Linked DNA regions of Coturnix japonica. The main gene of each other region encodes a partner of the protein of the gene in region 3 in a complex. Links are inferred from orthologs where the notes say so. Each region holds a gene or a part of one and is shown on either strand. Other genes may lie near its edges. The genes, in order: TUBGCP2, MZT1, TUBGCP3, NME7 and TUBGCP5.

The links.
Region 1: the proteins of TUBGCP3 (region 3) and TUBGCP2 are in contact, whole or in part, in a cryo-EM structure (PDB 8Q62), measured with the Homo sapiens proteins. The link is inferred for Coturnix japonica from reciprocal best matches to the Homo sapiens genes TUBGCP3 and TUBGCP2. Residues at the interface, in NP_006313.1 of Homo sapiens: Glu272, Asn273, Cys274, Ser286, Leu287, Asp289, Thr290, Val292, Arg293, Glu296, Trp299, Ser361, Thr363, Leu364, Arg365, Leu368, Val369, Tyr372, Lys375, Ile376, Lys379, Ala382, Ala383, Asp386, His387, Ala402, Tyr403, Lys405, Thr406, Gly407; in NP_006650.1 of Homo sapiens: Gln172, His173, Pro175, Ile176, Phe177, Pro178, Trp180, Arg184, Ala186, Leu187, Ile188, Gly189, Phe191, Leu222, Tyr223, Val226, Val228, Asp229, Gly230, Arg231, Glu278, Ser281, Phe283, Gln287, His290, Ala291, Ala294, Arg297, Val300, Lys301.
Region 2: the proteins of TUBGCP3 (region 3) and MZT1 are in contact, whole or in part, in a cryo-EM structure (PDB 7QJD), measured with the Homo sapiens proteins. The link is inferred for Coturnix japonica from reciprocal best matches to the Homo sapiens genes TUBGCP3 and MZT1. Residues at the interface, in NP_006313.1 of Homo sapiens: Lys7, Pro9, Leu12, Leu13, Asn15, Leu16, Cys17, Arg19, Ile20, Leu21, Arg23, Val28, Gln31, Tyr34, Ala35, Val38, Ile39, Asn42, Phe43, Ala44, Pro45, Thr46, Ile58, Leu62, Arg67, Asp70, Phe74, Leu77, Lys80, Leu81; in NP_001065243.1 of Homo sapiens: Asn17, Ala20, Val21, Glu23, Thr24, Val27, Leu28, Glu30, Ile31, Ser32, Arg33, Ile34, Leu35, Asn36, Thr37, Leu39, Asp40, Glu42, Thr43, Ile46, Cys47, Val48, Arg49, Leu50, Cys51, Glu52, Gln53, Gly54, Ile55, Asn56.
Region 4: TUBGCP3 (region 3) and NME7 share a complex: the UniProt entries of both Homo sapiens proteins name them as parts of the gamma-tubulin ring complex. The link is inferred for Coturnix japonica from reciprocal best matches to the Homo sapiens genes TUBGCP3 and NME7.
Region 5: TUBGCP3 (region 3) and TUBGCP5 share a complex: the UniProt entries of both Homo sapiens proteins name them as parts of the gamma-tubulin ring complex. The link is inferred for Coturnix japonica from reciprocal best matches to the Homo sapiens genes TUBGCP3 and TUBGCP5.

The regions. Positions count from the first base shown.
Region 1 is NC_029521.1:5,966,141-5,970,341, reverse strand, and holds the start of TUBGCP2 (gamma-tubulin complex component 2), read right to left. Parts: upstream 2,802-4,201; 5' UTR 2,735-2,801; intron 2,729-2,734; exon of another isoform or gene 2,444-2,728; intron 2,302-2,443; 5' UTR 2,283-2,301; coding exon 2,133-2,282; intron 1,455-2,132; coding exon 1,326-1,454; intron 1,162-1,325; coding exon 985-1,161; intron 1-984. Other genes in the region: ZNF511 (zinc finger protein 511), read left to right, coding at 2,802-2,945, 3,020-3,093, 3,273-3,474, 3,557-3,681, 3,846-4,010. UniProt on the Homo sapiens protein: Component of the gamma-tubulin ring complex (gTuRC) which mediates microtubule nucleation.
Region 2 is NC_029516.1:140,208,961-140,213,004, forward strand, and holds the start of MZT1 (mitotic-spindle organizing protein 1), read left to right. Parts: upstream 1-1,231; 5' UTR 1,232-1,332; coding exon 1,333-1,381; intron 1,382-1,559; coding exon 1,560-1,705; intron 1,706-2,736; coding exon 2,737-2,760; 3' UTR 2,761-4,044. Other genes in the region: BORA (protein aurora borealis), read right to left, coding at 393-548. UniProt on the Homo sapiens protein: Required for the recruitment and the assembly of the gamma-tubulin ring complex (gTuRC) at the centrosome.
Region 3 is NC_029516.1:124,246,801-124,250,313, reverse strand, and holds part of TUBGCP3 (gamma-tubulin complex component 3), read right to left. Parts: intron 1,342-3,513; coding exon 1,234-1,341; intron 160-1,233; coding exon 92-159; intron 1-91. UniProt on the Homo sapiens protein: Component of the gamma-tubulin ring complex (gTuRC) which mediates microtubule nucleation.
Region 4 is NC_029516.1:74,987,349-74,990,861, reverse strand, and holds part of NME7 (nucleoside diphosphate kinase 7), read right to left. Parts: intron 1,529-3,513; coding exon 1,423-1,528; intron 1-1,422. UniProt on the Homo sapiens protein: Possesses an intrinsic kinase activity. Displays 3'-5' exonuclease activity with a preference for single-stranded DNA. Does not seem to have nucleoside diphosphate kinase activity.
Region 5 is NC_029516.1:117,464,980-117,468,492, forward strand, and holds part of TUBGCP5 (gamma-tubulin complex component 5), read left to right. Parts: coding exon 1-172; intron 173-719; coding exon 720-835; intron 836-1,322; coding exon 1,323-1,591; intron 1,592-2,503; coding exon 2,504-2,702; intron 2,703-3,087; coding exon 3,088-3,276; intron 3,277-3,513. UniProt on the Homo sapiens protein: Component of the gamma-tubulin ring complex (gTuRC) which mediates microtubule nucleation.

The DNA.
Region 1 (4,201 bases), on a different chromosome or scaffold from region 3:
AAAAAAAAGAAAAAGAGAGAAGAATGAAGAAGGAGAAACTGACTGTAAACCGATAATTTGAGAATAGAAAGTGGAATAATTGATATTTCAGTAGAACAAGTGTAGGTGTACTCTCTTGGTTTCATTCAGGCTACTGGTCTCAGTGCTGCAGAGGTGAATTTTATATAGTTGGCCATCTTCTTATTGGCAGATGCATCACATAATGCCTTGTCATACCCCTCCCACCAGCCTTGGTGCTGTGGCATACACACAGGAGCAAAACCGGGACGCTTACAAGCTCCAGTCACCTTATTAGTTTGCAAACTCCACCATGTAAAAGCCAACAAATTAATTCCAGAAGAAGAAAGCAGCAACATCTTATCCAAGGAGCACTTGCAAACAGGCTAATGACCACCTCTGAAATCAGTTTCAGCACACTGCCCGTGGAGTAGCTGCACATGAAATGCCATCAAGATAATACACCAGTGGAAAATGACAGTGGTTTTGCTCTGATTGTGAAGGAAGTGAGCTTTTACAAGACCATAACAGTCTCCACTCATGGCTCTGGATCTCTGTCAGTAAAATAATTATGGTGAAAGACTAATTTTCAGCTGGAGAGGTGATGTATAACCTACATAATTGCCAAAAGCGCCATGCTTTCCATAGCTGCCAAAAGGGGACATGCTTATGAAAGCCATTTCTTAAGCTCCACATGTATGTGAAATGGGATCTGCAGAGGGTCATTTTATTTTCTTCTCATTGAAGGTCACTATGCCCCAGTGAGAACTGCTGTGGCCTAAACTCGCCTGACCTTACCTGACTTCAATAAAAAGGCCACTTTTTGGAATAACAGCACAATGATTTAATATAATTTGACTAGCACCATTCTGAGAGCAGATTTAGATGGATAGTAATATCTGCAGTTCCCCTAGATGTCAAAAGTTAAGAGCACAGCTACATACCAACAGCTGGGAAAGATCTCACATGTAAGGTGAGGGGCAGTACCTGCTGTGCGCTGGAGTTGGCTGTGACGGTGCCAAGCTGCTTGCGCAGCTCCTCAAGTTCCTGCAGAGAAATCTTGGAAGTAGATGAGGGGATGGAGAAATTTGTGCTGCCACCAGCTGCCACGTTTGCTGTGAGTTCCGCCCTTTCTTTAGCATTTTGTTGCAAATACTGGAGTGTCTGTATACACACAAAAGAAATTTTGTGAGCACTGGTCAGCACACACTGCAGCAAAGCTGTATTCCAATGAATATTATAATCTGACAGCGTGCATATTTAAAACCACTGCATTGTTGCTACTACCAAGGAGTTATAACATGCTCAGTTCTAACACAGAAACAAACCTCTTTGTCTTCTGTGAGCTTTGAGAGCAGGTACACCAAAGAATCTAAATGTCTTGTATTCTTAGACTTCAGTTCATCGTATTTCTTTAAAAAGTCTTCAGGAGTTCTAGAAAACTCTGCTATTTTTACCTGTAAAAGACCACAGGAATATTTAATGTTTAAGGTAGATTATCATTCCAGCATTCCAGAGCAGAGCATTGTGCAAGGAGGGAAACAAGGTGCAGGCCACTGCTGCCAGCAAAGTGCTTCAGGGAATAGGTCTTGGACTGAACAATGCGGCACTGGCCTCGCACTGATAATTAAGATGGACTGATTTGGAATGTATCACTCCTTCTGAGTTCTTCTTAATACCCAACCTGAACTTCCCCTGTCACAACTTAAAGCCATTACCTCAACCTTTTGCTGTTATCTGGGTGCAGAAACCAACACCTACCTTCCCAGAACCTCCTTTCAGGGAGCTATAGAGCAGTAAAGTCTCCCCTGAGCCTCCTTGAGGCTAAATAATCTCATATCCCTCAGCTGCTTCCACAAGACTTGTGCTCCAGACCCCTCACAGCACTGTTGCCTTACACTACAGGGCGTCCATGTTTTTCTTGTAGTGAAGGTTCCAAAACTGAACACAGCATTAAGGTGCAGCCTCAGTGTCAACTACAGAGGGACAGTTACCTCCCTGATCCTGCCCACTACACTGTTTCTGATACAAGTCAGGATGCCACCGGCCTTCATGGTCACCTACGCTGGCTCATGTTCAGCTGATGGATGGATAACTCCGCGAGGGACCAATGCAATGCCATTACTCTGGCCCACCTTAGCACTGTGAGCAGACACGGAGGTGGTGACGTAGGGCGTGCGGTTCTTCTGCAGCAGGTCGATGTACACCTCGGCCCCCTCACCCCCGTGCACACGCAGCAGGCTGAGCAGCTCGTTGACATCGTGGTGGATGCGGAACTCACTCATGGCGCGAATGAAATCCAACCTAACATTGGATACAGGAAGAAAGGCAGTGAGCTACGTTAGTGCTTTGGTGTAAGCACAAGAATAACGCTGCACTATAAGCCCATAGGGTGTGCTGGATGGGCACAAAGAAACTTATGGGAGTTGTAAGACAAGCCCCTCACCCTGCACGCTACTGCCCTGCTACAGACCAGGCCTAAGCGTGGGCAGCAGCTCTTCTTTGCCTTCCAGACACTATGGGAGGCCTCAGTGTGGAGCGCCGACCCGACCGGCTGCATTCAGCGCGGCCTGCTGTCCGGATCGGAACCACAGCGTTACAAACGACGACACCGGGCTGGTTCTAAGCGGCTCCCCGCACACAGAACCCAGAGCAGACGCACAGAACGAATCCAGCCGCCCCACACCCCGCCGTCCCGCGGCTCCTCTCCGTCCCCATCCCGCTCCATCCCTCCTACCCGCCCGGAAGCCGCCGCCGTTGCCGCAGGAAGTGCTACGGGCGCCTGCGCGGCCCGGTCCGGTCCGATGCTGCTCTCCGTTCTCCGCCGCCGCCTGCGGGACCGCCCGCCGCTGCCCCCCGCCCCGCCGCCCGCCTCGGCCCCGCCGCGGGCTCCCTTCGCCTTCTGCCCGCGCCGCCTGCGCCTGGACCCGCAGCACCCCCTGCTCGAGGTGAGGCCGAGCCAAGCGGGGCGGGCGGCCCGTTGGCCAGGCTGCTCCATGACTGCCATGTCCCCCCGCTGCAGGATGGAGACGTGCACAGACACCTGTACCTGCGGGAGGCGCTCACGGGCCGCGCCGAGGAGGCGGAGAGGCCCAGGTGAGCTGCATGGGACAAGAGATGAGCCCCCACTGAGACCCTGCCCTGCACACGGAGCTGCTGGGCCCCCTGCGAGCTCACAGGGACCCGAGCATCTGGGGCAGAGCCTTGTAATAAGGCTTAAACGTATAATATACTACACGCTGAGGATGCACTAATGTGCTGTCCTTCCCTTACAGGGTGTCTGAGTTCTGCTGTCACATCTCCGGTTGCTCCCAGGTGTTCGATACACTTGAGGGCTACGAGCACCATTACAACGTGCTGCACCGCAACGTCTGCTCCTTCTGCAGGCGGTCGTTCCCTTCAGGGCACCTTCTGGACATCCACATCTCCGAGTGGCACGACTCGCTCTTCCAGATCATGGCTGAGAAGCAGAATATGGTGAGGGCATGGCCCGGCCCCTGCTGCCACACGGACTGGCTGTTCACCCTTCCCAGGGGGTGTTTTCTTTCCTTTCTTTCAGTACAAGTGCTTGGTAGAAGGCTGTGCAGAGAAGTTCAAGTGCAGCAAAGACAGGAAGGATCACTTGGTCACTGCTCACTTATACCCTGCTGACTTCCGATTTGATAGACCAAAGAAAGTGAAGAGGTAACTGCAGAATGGCAGCAGCACAGCTGCTTTTTCCATGCTCAAGTGATGTGCTTCTCTGCTGTCCCATTCCTTTCTAGAGTCCTCTAAAATCCCTTTCATTTTCTTTGCTCCTTGCTCGCGTTTCAGCTGCTGAGAATGGATGTCACGTTTTCTTTCTGCAGTGGTACCAAGCATGTGAGCTGTCCCACAGATGATGGGAGCATGCTGATGGATGTCAGCATGGAGACCTCGGAGCAGCTCGAGACGGACCATATGGAAGTACCCATGGAGAGCACAGAGCCTGCAGCCAGCCCTTCAGTACCAGAGAAACGCCTCTATAAATCCAGGTCTGAGCCAAATGCCTGCACAGGCAAAAGTTTCTGATCAAAAGGTCACTGAGGCAGCACCTGAATCATTTATTGATCACTTTAATGGCCTCTAAGAACGTCATGTTCTTTCTTGAACTATCCCAGTTGGCAAAGGGATGCTTGTACTTTGAGTTTGAGATGCCAGCGTGGTCCATCCAACAGAAACCTGC
Region 2 (4,044 bases), about 16 Mb from region 3:
CGAAATAATACAGCAACCTTCCTTTTACTTTACATTTCAAAGGAGACAGAGGACAGTCTAGAAGCAGGCCACAAAGGGCACTGTCAGGCATAGATCATAAGATCCAGTTTGGGAACAAAGCAGTCTCATCCATTGAAGTAGCACTTCAGTACAAAATAGTGAGCAAGTAGCACTTAGAAAAACGATCTAACAAAACACTGTCTTTTTAATCTCATTATCAAGGTGCGAAGACCAAATTACAGCGTTAGCATTAAAAGAAGCTTACTGAGGTAAATGAAAGAACCACAAAACACCCCAAGTTCTTTGGGTTTGCATACATTAAATCAAGTAAATACACTGTGTTACGTGTTTTTATGTGTCGGCACTACATAGAACAGAAAATGAGCTCTTACAGATGAAGATTTTGTTGATTTGAAGACGGAAGGACTGGAGACAATCTGCTCCTGAAGGGTGCAATAATCGCTGGGGCTTTCGAAAGGATTCAGAACTGTGACCCGCCCAGGAGTTTCGGGGCTGATCTGCATTTGGGCTTCTTCTGTATCGCCCATAGCAGTGAAGCTGTGCCTGGGGAAGAGAAACAGAAGGAAATGTGAGGGGAGGAAATTACCATTCTGACTCGTTAGGGTCATTCTAAGAATTTCAACCCATGACCGGTCATTCAGAAGAGACAGAAAACTCATAACGGCAAAGCAGATTTTGGCTTGGACCAGTGAGAAGCAGATAAACGAGGCTGGTACAAAGACGGAGCCTAGAAAGCAAAGCCAAAGGAAACGAGGTACTGGAAACCAGCATGGAGGAAACCAATCGCGTTCGTGCCAGGTGCTCCCGTACCGAACGGCGGGGCCTCAGAGGAGTTGTCAGCCCCACAGCGAGGCGGCTCCCCGCTCCTCACAGGCCGAGGAACGCACACAGCGAGCAGCAGAGGCCTAAAGCCACGTATTCACGGGACAGCTGTACCAAGGGCCGCCACCACGCCACCACCCCCCCACTCCTCAGGCCCAGCTACCGAAGCCCCGCTGCCGCGACGCGCACTCATACCCGACTCCAATTAAAACTGCCCGCCTCCGCCGAGCCGGGCGGCTCTTTAACCACCTCCCGCCCCTTCCCGAATTCTGCCCAATCAACGCGCGCCGCAGCCGCCGGCGAACCAATCGTAGGCTCCCCTCCGCTCACGAACGGGCCAATCGCATGCAGAGCCGCTGCACAAATTCGAACGTTAGCCCGCCCCCCACCTTCCTGCTGTGAGCGGGAGGTTCCGCTTGGGCCTGGTGCGGAGTCCCGGAATCACGTGAGGTTGGGGTCGCTCCTTCTGCTTCCGGGTGGGCGGTCGCCATGGCGAGCAATGCCGCCAGCCTCAACGCCGTGAGGGAGACGATGGACGGTACGAGGGAGGGGCGGGAGGGGCCAGTGGGGTTGGGGATGCGGCACTTGTTTGTAGATACATTGGTTTGCTTGAGGTTCCATAACTGCCACTTCCATGCTGTACAGTAGAAATTCAGCTTTGATTAATAACTTCTTTGATCGCTGTTGGGGCTAATTTGCTTTCTTTTTCCTTGCAGTTCTGTTTGAGATTTCAAGAATATTAAATACTGGGTTGGATATGGAGACCTTGTCTATTTGTGTGCGGCTTTGTGAGCAAGGCATCAACCCAGAAGCACTGTCTTCTGTCATTAAAGAACTGCGTAAGGCTACAGAAGCTCTAAAGGTAATGCCATTCCCTAAAAAGCACACGGTTTTAAAAGAATCAAATCTTTGGTTCAATTTGCTGTGCTTCTTTTCCTTTAAAATTAAGAAAAAAATCAACAAAACAGATTTCTCTTCTTGGTGCTTTCAGCCACTATTTCCCTTTATCTGCTTCATGTCCTGACTGGACTGTAGCTTTCTTCTTCAGCCCATATCAGCTCCTTATACACCCTCAGGCCTCATAGTATGTATCACAGAATTATCAAGGTTGGAAAAAGACCTAGAAGATCATCCAGTCCAACCATTACCAATACTTCCCAGCTAAATCATATTCATCAACACAACATCCAAATGTTTCTTGAACACTCCCATGGTTGGTGACTCCACCACCTCCCTGGCAGTGCATTCCAATGCCTGACTACCCTTTCTGTAGCAACACTTGTGAACAAGTTCATGAAGCTGTTGTGGCTAACAGTCTCCACACATTGCTGTCACCTCATTAACCTGTGCTTTACGTCTCTCCAAAGACAAATCACAGCATTTCATGGTGTGTGTGCATTGTAAGTACTAAAGTATAAAAAGCCACATGTAACTATTTGGTTAATAGGGAAAATAACTATAGTTAAAAAATTCTCATTTGCCCTTTAAAGGATTTTGATGCTTTGCTGTCTACCTAACCATCATGATTCCTTCTCCACTACATCTTATGTTGTTTATTTATCTGTTTTTGAAGGCTATGTTCTGATTCTTAAAGAACTCAGCTTTCAGATTTTACAATCAGACTTTTTTTTTGCATAATTTAAATTTTTATTTTATTTTTTTATAATTTCAAACTCTTCTATACTTGTGTGTATTTTTTATTTGTGTATGTGCTTAAATGTGTGTACACAAGCTTAATTGTGCATATACATTGTTGAGGGATGTTCTATTTCTTTTCTATTTTTTATGTCTTACTTGTGTTGCTTTCATTTCTCTTTTTATCTCATATCTGGGCTTCAAATCTACAACATAAATGATGTCTGCTTTTGGTGACAAATTTTTTTTTTTCCCTAGGCTGCTGAAAATATGACAAGCTGATGTGATAGAATCCTTCTTCATGAGAAGAGTTCGAAGTTGTAGAGCTGATAAAGAATTTGAACATTGGCTGCTACTTAGAAATACGAAGTCAAATTATATCTGGAGGTTTCAGAGTATCTCTAAGTCATCTTGAAAAAGGCAATGTATGGAAGAGCTTAAAGTTGGGTTTTCTTAAATAGGCCCACCAGTAATCTTACCACACTTGAATACTTGGTTATTTTTATGAACCAGGGGTGAATTTTAGTGTAACTGCCCTTCAGCATGTAGGATTTTTAAACAGTGTCAGAGATTGAAGGTTTGCTGAAATTACTAGTGTGTAACAGTGAATGTTATCACGAATATGGCTTGTTAACGCATTCTTTAGAAGTGCTATTGTGTTCTGTTTATTCCTGTTGTACTAGTGTGAAAATATGTGGATGCTTTTATCTGTGGTAAAGGTAGGAAAGAAGTCCCTATTGAGCTGATTTTAATTAGAGTACAGATGATGACTTAAATGACTTAAGTCATGTTCTGAAAGTAAGAAATAAAGCACTTTTGATTATCAAGATAATGACTTGTCCTTCTAATTCTGTTGGAAAAAGAGTTTTTAACTTGTTTTAGAAAGGAATTTGGATGTATGTAAATTTGACATGTAGATAACGTGGAATATCAAATGCTGTTTGCGTATGTTCTGAACACTCAACCTGAAAATATTAAGCATATATTGTTAATTACTAGTCAAAGCATCTTACAAGTAGGGGCTGATTTAGTTGTGTTAAACAGTCACTTGGTGTAGGGGAGTCTTCTCCTTCAGCACAAACAATATCCACTGATGCAAAAACAAATCTTTCTAGTGTATGCATTAAGCTACTGAACAAATTATCATTCAGTGAATCTTTTGCATCCAGGAGTTATGCTTCTTCATAGGAAGAAAATTTTCTTGTGTTTGTCCTCTGCTGCTGTTTTAGCTTTTCCAATTTTTTGTTAGACTGTTTTCTAAGTAGTGGTGTTAATAGAACCCAAAGCAGGCTGACAGGGGAAGCACACGTAATAAAGATTCAAGGTTCATCTTTTGTGCGGACGGAAAAGTTCTTTTGAGTTTACATCACACATTACTCTATCTGGGTCACAGCTTTAGAAAACATGATAAATATCTTTTATTTCCTATTACTCTGGCCAAGAAATCACTCCAGAAAGGTGTAGAATCTGTGTTAAAACTTCTGAATACTGTGTGTAATGTTTTCAAAAGTATTAAAGAATCTACTGTATGGAAAGATTGACAATAAATGTATCCTAGAAAAATGT
Region 3 (3,513 bases):
AGTTAATGATCTGAGGACTATCTAAAACAACTCTAGAATATCAAAAGAATTTGAGTGTGCTTTCAGTTTCTTCACGTGTTTATTACACTACCTGCGAACCGAGCTTTCTGTAGAGTTCTGAAAACAAAGCAGCATCTGCTTCCCTTCTTTGTCGCACAACTGAAAGAGATAAATGTAGATTAAAAGAACTAGAACAAGAATAATAGTCATGTTAGAAACTATACATTTTGTGTTAAATAGGAAAACATAACCAAGAAAGCATTATGATGCTCAACTGTTTTGCATTACTTACTCAAGACTTCTGAGAGTTTTTTCACACTTACTTGTATTCCCAGCCTCAACAGTTCTTGCAGGGGATATGACCCAATGTAAACAGTAACCATTTCTCTTATAGCAACAAAGGAAGTGTATACTGTAGAATACAGGGTTTTACAGCTGTATCTAGAGAAATTCTAGATGGGCTTATTTGTCAGTTAGTAAGTAATGGAAACCTTGCATTAGCAAAAAATACACAAGTACTTTAAAAGGTTACAATTCAGTGATTCTAATTCAATCATCCTGACCAAATGTTCAGAGTTCCTGAGCACAAATAGAAGCTTTAATTTAATCAGGAACTGCTCCTGAACATCCTACCGTTGAGCTGAGAGTCTGCTGAAAGCATTACTTGGCTTTTTAAGAATGCCTCATAGTCCAATGGGATTAAGAGCTCAGCACCTGACTCAGAGCAGCACAGAGCAGAGTGGAACATAACTGCAGTAACTTACTGTCACGGTCTAATGTTTTGGCTCTGGGAAGGCTGTTGTAAATAAACGTTTATGAAAACAGAAGCCGAGAAATATCAGGTAATCCGCATGAACAATGATTCCATCCATCCCCAGAATGCTCATTCATTAAGATTCACATATGTGCTCATGAAGTTAATTGTGCCAAAGTGTAGCTCAAAAACATCAGTCTTCCAAAATGAAGTATGTATTTATGAAGTCTGAATAATAACAAAATGAATGAAATGTAAATTGCTCTTTATTTCCATGGTGGCTAAGATGGGAAGTCAATGGCTTGCACAGAAGCAAGGGAAATTTAAACTAAGCATCTGAGCTCAGGAGGAGTAACTAGGGGATTCGTAGAATTGCCATCACAAGATTTTCAGGAACAGGCAATAAGAGCAGTAATCAGTATTAGGTAAATGTGGCAGAACAGTTCCACCTTCAGAGGAATAAACAGAAACACACGTACGTTCTTTCTTGATTTTCTCCGCCACAAGAAATTCATCCCGTTCGACAGTAGGAGCAAAGTTGCTTCCAATAACTCTCACTGCATACTGGAACTGCTGGGCTACATCAGCTGAAAAAACAAAGGGAAACCCACTCAATTAAGCAGACTGATAAAGTACTATTAAAAGAAGGAGAAAAAAAAACCCACAAGATTACATAGCTGTGACTGAATTTGGCATAAACGTACTCAGCTTTGATCAGATTCTGTTATATTCCTCAGATACACTTCTAACCAGAGGGCAGTGAAGTCTATGCTATCCTGGGGGGGAGATTAACAATACTTCAAACACACCTGTACAGACTCTGCTAATTAAACATATGCAATAAATACTTCCTGTGCTTTGCTGGTTGAAGAGACACTTTGGCCTGATGCTATTAGAGAGCATCAGCAAACTTCAAGAGGCTCTGCAACGCCCTACAGCCTGAAAAGCTATGCAGGACTTGCCGCAGTCACGCAATTCAGCTTGCACACAGGAAACACTGCTGTGATTGTTCCTAAGGAAAATAATGTTTAGAAATTAACTTTTACATCCACCTCCATTATCCTCTCTTAGCACCTTTTACATTAAAAAAAAAGAAAAACAACATTAAAAACAATTCCCTGAGGTCTCCATGAGGGGGCTGGCAGAACAAACCTCCAAATAACCTTGCCTGAGGAGGGTCAGAGTGCAGCATAAGCTCAGCAGTTAAGCATTCTCCCTGGTCTGCCAGCACAGCTTTAGCAGTATTAGGCACCACCTCCTGCCCAGACTGCAGCCAGAGTGCATAAACGAACAGATATGGAGGATGAAAGATCCCAGAGATTTCTGAAAGGAGTTTTGGAGATTTAAACTTAAGTCCTCAGGCTAATGAAAACACAATAGATATGCTATCAACAGTAAGAAGTAAAGGGGGGTGGGGGGTGTTCCTTTAATAGGGAACAGAGCTTCCCTATTAAAGAATTCCCTAACTTTCTATGTCAACATTAGCTATAGCAAGACTAATTAAAGCACAGACACCTAGCTAAGTGTTTCTAAAATGTCCTAACGAGGCATTTGAGAAAGGTCTCAAGTCAAAAACTTACAATCCCATTAAAGAATGCTGCAGATTAACCCTGCTACGTGACTAACAGTATGTTTCGAAGAAATCCACTCTTTACACCATAGAATCACAGAATGGCTCGTGTTGGAAGGGACCTCAAGGATCATCAAGCCCCAACCCCTCCATCAGAGACAGGGCCATCAACCTCCATGTTTAACACTAGACGACATTTAATACTAACACACATAGAGATTTGCACTGGAAATCACATAACTTCACCACCTGTAGTGCTTAAATGTAATATAATTCAGATATCTGTCAGTGGAATAATCTCATCATTTACAACTAGTAGACATGTTTAATTGCCTCAAAGATCATTAAGATGGCAGGCAAGTGTAAAATACATAACTGTGTGTCTGTATGTGTACACGCTTTCCCATCAGAAAGTGATTCAGTATGACTCTCTCACCCCAGAGCAGAGCAAGCTATCAATAATTCAATATCTACCATCTACCCAACCATTTGCACTTCCCTACAAACAACACGGCATTCAAGATGAATTACAGCCAAAGGCAGATATAAGGCTTATCCCACCCAAAAGGTGGCCCAGCTCCGGTGCTTTTACCCTAATGCACACAGCATGCGTAATAAACAGGAGCTGGATGCCACTGTGTGGTCAGAAAGCTATGATACAGTCACTAGCAGGGAAATCACAGTATCACACAGAATCAGTCTCATGCAGGTTGGAAGAGACCTTAGAGATCATCGAGTCCAACCCCCGGGATTCGAGCCTCCTGTGTAGCAGAGCGGCACTTCCACCACTTGCGCCACAGGGGATTCGAACCCAAGGCCTCCAGTGTTGCAAGGCGGCATTCCTACCACTGCGCCACCAGTGGCGGGATGACTTGCACAGCTGGAGTGATATGATCGATGGCTACCAACGTTTCAAAAGAACTAAGCAAGGCAGGAAATACAGTGGTGTAGCTCTCTGTGTTAAGAAAGAATGCAAATGTGTGGAAATTAACAACGGTGATGATAGGATTGAGAGCTTACAGGTCAGAATAAAAGTAAAGGCCAATAAGACTGATATTATCATGGGAGTCTGCAATAGGCCACCCAACAAGGAAGATGTGGAAAAGACACTTCATAGGCAGTTGGGTGAGGTCTCAAGGTCTCTTCCCCTTGTTCCTGGGGGGACTTGAACTTCCCAGATATCTGCTGG
Region 4 (3,513 bases), about 49 Mb from region 3:
ACTGTTTTGCTGTTTTGTTGTCCACAAGTGGGGAGAAAGGGAAAGTAAGTTGCTTATTTTTTTTATACCACACAGTCTCCTACCAGCAATTTTACCTGAAGGGAAGCTCATTAGTTGCTATAGCACCTACTCTAATTGAGCTACAGAAGATGTTGCTGGCACAAACAGATGGTCTCAGGTATCACCAAACACAGTTACTAATAGCTGTTAGAAGACAGATAAGATGAGCAGGGCCACATTCACATGAATGGGTCACCCAGATTCTTTCAGCATGCTTCTACCTGACTCCAAAACAATCTCTATGGGGAAGAAGGACCAAGCATAGCAGGTGTTGCCACTCTGCAACAGACTAAAGAGGAGAACAAGAGTAAGGACTACAGAAGGAGGCAAAGATAACCAAATCTTTCTCCCTGTGACACTCTTGGACTGCTGGGAAGAGTTCCTGCAGCCTTTGTGAAGATGGATTTCACTCGTTTCTAACTGTTGGCTGGAACCACTCCAGCTTTTTTGCAATTTTGAACAATTAAGGACACTAACAATCCTATCACAAAGAAGTCTGCCTGAAGTCTCCTATTTCAGGTGTGAAAGGTCTGGAAACCTATGGCCATTTCTTCTGCTGTCTCCATCTTAGTTGTCCATAGAGACATGACTAGTGTGCTGCATCTGACCAAGAAAAGTCTAGACATGCTCACTTGACAATATTTATTTCACACTCAGAAATATTGTTGAGATGCCAGAACTGAAATATTTTACTGCGCTTACTACTGCTCTTACACATGCTCCTGTTTCTAAGTACATGTTACAAAAGCAAGGTTATTTCAGCAGGGTAACAATTGGGCATTACACTTGTCTAATGCTCATACAGTAAACTTGCAGGATATGCTCCAGCACAGAAAGAACTATGGAGTCCTACAAATGTTTACTACTTTCCATCCCCACAGCAATCAGCAGAACAAGATTCATGTATGGGAAAAAAATGTCCCTTTGTAAGAAGTTCTAATGTAATATGTTACTGCGTAAATGGAAGACCTTGTAACACAACCAGGTGTCCTGCTTTCACCCTGCCATGAGGAAGCTAACCTCCACTAGAGTGTTGTAGACAGATAGGAGTAAGGATACAGTTATCACAGCTTAAATGAGATTAAATTAATCTCATTTATAATTTTTTGTATTTCTTTTTCCAGTCTCTTACTGTTTATTCTGAAATTAAAATTATCCACACAGCACACAACCCATGAAAGTAAATTGAAGAAATACTAAAGGTGTATGGAAAAGGATTTGCATACTCTTGCAAGTACAATTAAATACTCTGTGTTCCTACTATTTCACATTTTCACACACACAAAAAAAAAAAGCATAAGAATGACCATGAAACAGAACAAAGCATAATTTTCTTTTACCTCCACTATTCATATTCCTTACCTTCATTAACTGCATGAGGCTTAATAATGCAGCAAGTACAGTTTGTGAACTTTGCGCTGTTGGCTGGTCCGTGACCTCCACTGGAGGGAAAGAAGAACTCCAGCTCCTGAAAACAATTGTAATTGAATTCACTTTAGTTTTTATCTAGCTGCATGCATAAGCTTCCATCCTAAGTAACGACATCTGAAGTACTCATAGTTACAGAAAACTATTGATTTTTGTGCTACAAATACATCTCCCCTACAATATTCTACACATCTTTCCAACCCTGGCAACACTGCTGCCATCATAAAAACTTCATTTGAATATTTCTTGTAATTTCCCTTTCTGCTTTCACAATACAATCTATTTCCATTCAGCCACAATCATTTGGCAGATGAAGTATCCCCAGATTTCTAAATTCCCTTTCCTCAGTATTTTTCCCAGGTCTACTTCCATGTACAGATTTTTAGCTTCTCTCTTTTCACAACATGTTTTCCTCCACTTAAGCAATAACACAATGAGCACCCAGCTTTCCCTGATACAAAAACCAATCTCCATCCCACTCATTTACAACCTTTTTTTCCCCCTTTTGTATTAAAAAACCTTCGCCTAAAATTGTTGGCTCCACTCTCATGACTTATGGACTCCTACCCCTCTTTTCTTTTTTCCCCCCTTCAGCCTTAGTGAATGGAAGATGGGCTCAGTTACCCTAATTTCTGAGAAGAATCAGAAGAACCTCTTTGCCTCTTTGTTTCCCATTACTTCCTTTCCTCCTTCCATCACTATTTGGTCTTAGACCACAGTAAGCTGGACACACAAGCTTCTTTCCTCAGTGATTTTATTTATTTATTTTTATTGCTCACTGCCAGCTTCATGCTTTTTCCATACCATTTATTCACATAGCTTACACAATCTGCCAATAAACATTAGTCAAATGCTCGAAATGCAGATTCCATTTAAGACCTATTGGTCAAATTAAGTAAGAGAATTGATGAATTTCTATTTAAGGGAAATAATAATAACCTGGAGATACTTCTACCAAATCCATCTAATTTTTTTTTTTCATGTGTAACACTAACAGCGCTGAAGGCCATTTCCTGGCATTGTCTCATTTAATTTACTAGCTCAGTTCAGACAGAATAAACTTAACTATTTCTCAATCTTCTCCTCACTTTATTCTGGCAATTCCTGTAATCCTGACTTGAACAATTACACAGTTCTCACTCAGGGATCATTCAACAGGAAGGAAGGCGAAGTGTTTTTGTTTTCTGTGTTTTTTCCCACCTAGCAAACAATGCCCATCTTGAGTGCTCATGAGTGTTAGTTTCCTGCACCCTTCTTCTGAGGACATGCTGCATCCCTCTTTGACCTTGTCCCATTCTGTTAACTAATGTTCACTCTAAAAGCAGTAGCCAGGAAAAGTTAGCAAGGTACTTAAAGCATCTAACACTTTCTTTGGTCCATTAAATGCCAGAAGAGAAAAGTGTCTAAATAATGCTGAAGGATAATGAAATGCTAAACAAAATTCAAGTGATGTTTTAAAAAGAAAGTATTTTTTATTTATGCCTAATATGAAAAAAAAAAAATTAAAAATGGTCCTGCAGAAAGAGAAATAACCTTAGAAGTACACCAGAGGCCTACTTTCATTTGTCACTGCAATGTCCTGTTCTAACTGCAACCAACTAGTTTCCAGCTGCTATACAAATATATAGTTCTGCACCTACTACATTAAAGTAGGTAGAGGCCTATTAAATTCACAATTTCAGTTATCTTACCAGAGATGGGTATTGGTAACACCACAAGGATGCCTACATCTGCCAAAGTTCAGCAATATAATAATGTTGGTCATAAAAATACCACAGATGAGCAGAGCCTTCAAACTGCTGAAATGTAAAAAGAGCTACCAACTTAAACCAAAGCAAATAATTAAATTTATAGTCAGAATCTTACGTTAATAGATACTGTCTCCTACACTCTCAGGCAAAAAGCTGGCACAACAGTAACTGCAGCACACAAACGAAGAGAAACCTCCCCATTTGAGCACAAAGACATTGGTCAACTGCCAGAATTAAAGACTTTTCTGACTGAAATTCTCCTTTATAAAAATTC
Region 5 (3,513 bases), about 6.8 Mb from region 3:
TAAGCTGTCTCCCCGCCTGGCACAGCTGAAGGTTCTTCACAAGGTTTTTAGCACAGGAGTAGCGGAAGTGCCACCTGACACTAGAAATGTTGTCCGAGCATCTCATCTGCTTAACACTCTTTACAAAGCTATTCTTGAATATGACAGTGTTGGAGAAGCATCTGAGCAAACGGTAGGCAAAATCATTCCTCCTTAATGAAATCACACTCTAGAATATTTGGTAACATAGATTTCATTCTACTGCCTGAGTACACTGTCCTTCAGCAACTGAGGACAAATCTGGTAGCCATAATGAATTACTGTTTTCTGATGAGTTCATTCAGACTACATACAAGATTCACAAGGAGATGAGCATTAGTGATAATGTCATAGATGTCACTGTGTCCTTTTTTTCACGTTTTCTGCACTATAAAGCCACGGTGTGTTACAGCTATCAGTTATCATTTAAAGGATGTCAGAGTAATGAAAGTTGCTGTTTGGGTCTAATTGCAATGACAGAAGTAATAAGGGGAAACTTGCACAATGCACGTCTCCGTTAATACCGCTAGTCCTGTAATTTTTAGTTGAATATTTTATCTTTGAAAAGTCTTGAAGTATAGCTAAGTATTAACTTACTATCATGCAATTAATCAGTTAGACTCTGCCATGTTGCTTGTAATACTTAAAAAGCTGATTTTTTACTTAATTCTTACTTAATTTTTTTCTTTCTTTAAATTCAGGTGTCCCTTCTGTTCTCTCTCTGGGTTGAGACTGTGAGGCCGTACTTACAGACAGTAGATGAGTGGATTGTCCACGGCAATTTGTTTGATCCTGCGAAGGAATTCATCATTCAGAGGTAGGGGCACTGGTGCTGGACACTCATAGTTTGAAAGTACTTCTTGACTGTTCTGAAAGAAAGGCAAAGCATAGAGCAAAGATGAAGAGAGGGGCAGGTCTCTTCTCACTAGTGACAAGTGACAGGACGAGGGGAAATGGCCTCAGGTTGCGTCAGGGCAAGTTTAGGTTGGATATTAGGAAGAACTTCTTTACAGAAACGGTAGTTAGGTACTGGAATAGGCTCCCCAGGGAGGTGGTTGAATCACCATCCCTGGTTTTGTTTAAGAGCCGTTTTGATGTGGTGCTCAGGGATATGATTTAGTGTAGGGTTGTTAGAGTTAGGGTACTATGGTAAGGCTGCGGTTGGACTTGATGATCTTCAAGGTCTTTTCCAACCTGGGTAATTCTATGATTCTATGAAGATAAACCTTCTGCTAAGGAAGTTTCACCTTTTAAAAAGGGAAATATTTAACACCTTTTATTTTTTTTTTCCCCCTACTTGACAGGAACAAAAACGTTCCAGTTGATCACAGAGATTTTTGGTATGCTACCTACACGTTATATAGTGTGTCAGAAAAGACAGAGAATGAAGAGAAGATGAGTGATAATGCCAGCGCCAGTTCTGGCAGTGATCAGGCCCCTTCAAGCAGGCAACACACTATGGTCTCTTTTCTGAAACCTGTGCTAAAGCAAATCATCATGGCTGGAAAATCCATGCAGCTGTTAAAGAATCTTCAATGCAAAGACGGCTCTCCACAGCAGGCTGCATCCAGGGGTGAGCTGTCAGTTGGTGGAGTATTGTGCCCTAGGGTACCTAACAGCATGGGAATATTTTATATAATGGTGTTTGTGATTACAGAGCAGTTTAATTGTCCTCTTTATATGTCAGTATCGTGGTTTGTAACTCCAGTTCTGATGGAAAACTTATTCTTCCAATGCAGTCAAGTGACAGGAACAAAGCGAACAATGATCAATGATCAATGATCAAGTACTCACTCAGGTACTTGACTCAGGTCTTGATGCTTCATATTTTCATGAACTTTTTTTTTACATGCTTTCAAAACATTTCATTTGTTATTAGACAAACACAGATAGTGATAATAAACAGTAAAACCGTGTTTTGATCTAATAAATAGTTGTTTTTCCTTATCAAGTGGTTGAGTAATTTCGAGGTAGCTTACAGAACTTCTTCAACAAAAAGAAGTTTACCAAATAATTAGATGAAACTTATACTGACATTTTTATGCATATCTATAGCCAGGTTACTATTTGAATGGTTGTAAACCACAGTGTAGCAGTGTAATCAATGTTAATTTTTTCTGGAGGAGATGAAACGTGCTTTTTCAGTCACACCATCTCTATGGGGTTAATAGGGATAGCTGAATTATGTTGGCATCTCTACAGGTTTGTTTCCCTCTGTAACATGGTTGTTTTAGGCGTTGAGAATTAATTGCCTTTATGTTTGAAGAAGTTCTCTTACAGGCTCTGATTAGCAGTGCCTGACTTGAAGTATTAGACTAAACACACTGATCCAGTGATATTTTGTTCTAAGTATGTACTTGAGAAGTAGCCTAAATTTAGTCTAAAATATGTTAAGTGTATGTTGGATTCTGCAGCTGCGCTTGTAGTTCAGGTGATACTTTCTCTTACGATGAAACCTTACCATGAAACATGTTGCCCAGTTTAGATGCTGAAAGAAAGAGTCTGTATACACTGTTCCTGGAATCTGTGCAGTCTCGCCTGAGGCATGGGGAAGAATCTGTTCCAGATATTATTACAGAGCAGCAGGCCACCAAGGAGAGCCTGATAAAGATGCAGTCTATAGCAGAAAGGCACTTGGAACTGGATGATGTCCATGACCCTCTGCTGGCTATTAATTTTGCCAGGTAAGTAAATACCCACTAGATGAATGATCTTCCTGCTGTGTTGTTGAGAGCAGTGTTCTGCTTAGTGACATTTGGTAAAGCTGATTTTTATTGCTGCTGCAGAAAACAAGCAAATAGAATAAAGAGGAGCACCCATAATCAGTGGCAGAATCTCAATAAATACCCTCCTGCTTAGTTAGAGGAAAAACAAATCAGCGAGGAATTGGCTGCTTACATTGGTTAGTATAGAAAATAGGTGCAAACACCTTTTATTTTGTGATCCTATTTTTTGAGCAGGGGTTCCAATTTTGATTAAAATTTTCTAAGGTATGACATTTTTCTTCTATATATTGTGTAAATTATATGTATTCTTCCCTAAGTATTTGTATTTTATGTAATTTTTAAGATTATATTTGGAGCAGAGCGACTTCCACGAGAAGTTTACTGGTGGGGATGTTTGTGTGGACAGATCCTCAGAATCGGTCACCTGCCAGACTTTTGAACTGACGCTGAGGTCTTGCCTTTATCCTCACATAGACAAGCAATACTTGGAGTGCTGTGGTAATCTAATGCAAACTTTAAAGAAGGATTATAGGTAAGAAAGTAACATGGTTAGCATTTCTAATTACCAATGTTTTGCCATATAAGTAAAAGCAGTAATTTTCTTCTAAAATTTTTATTGTTTTTCCTACAACAACTGAAACCTCAAGAAAATACATAACAAAAAAGGGGAAATCTAAGATGGTCACGAGTGAAACTTTGGAACACCTATTTTAAACCAGCAGCATTGTTGAACACCCACTGAAAACAGGGAAATTGTTTTGGACAGTAT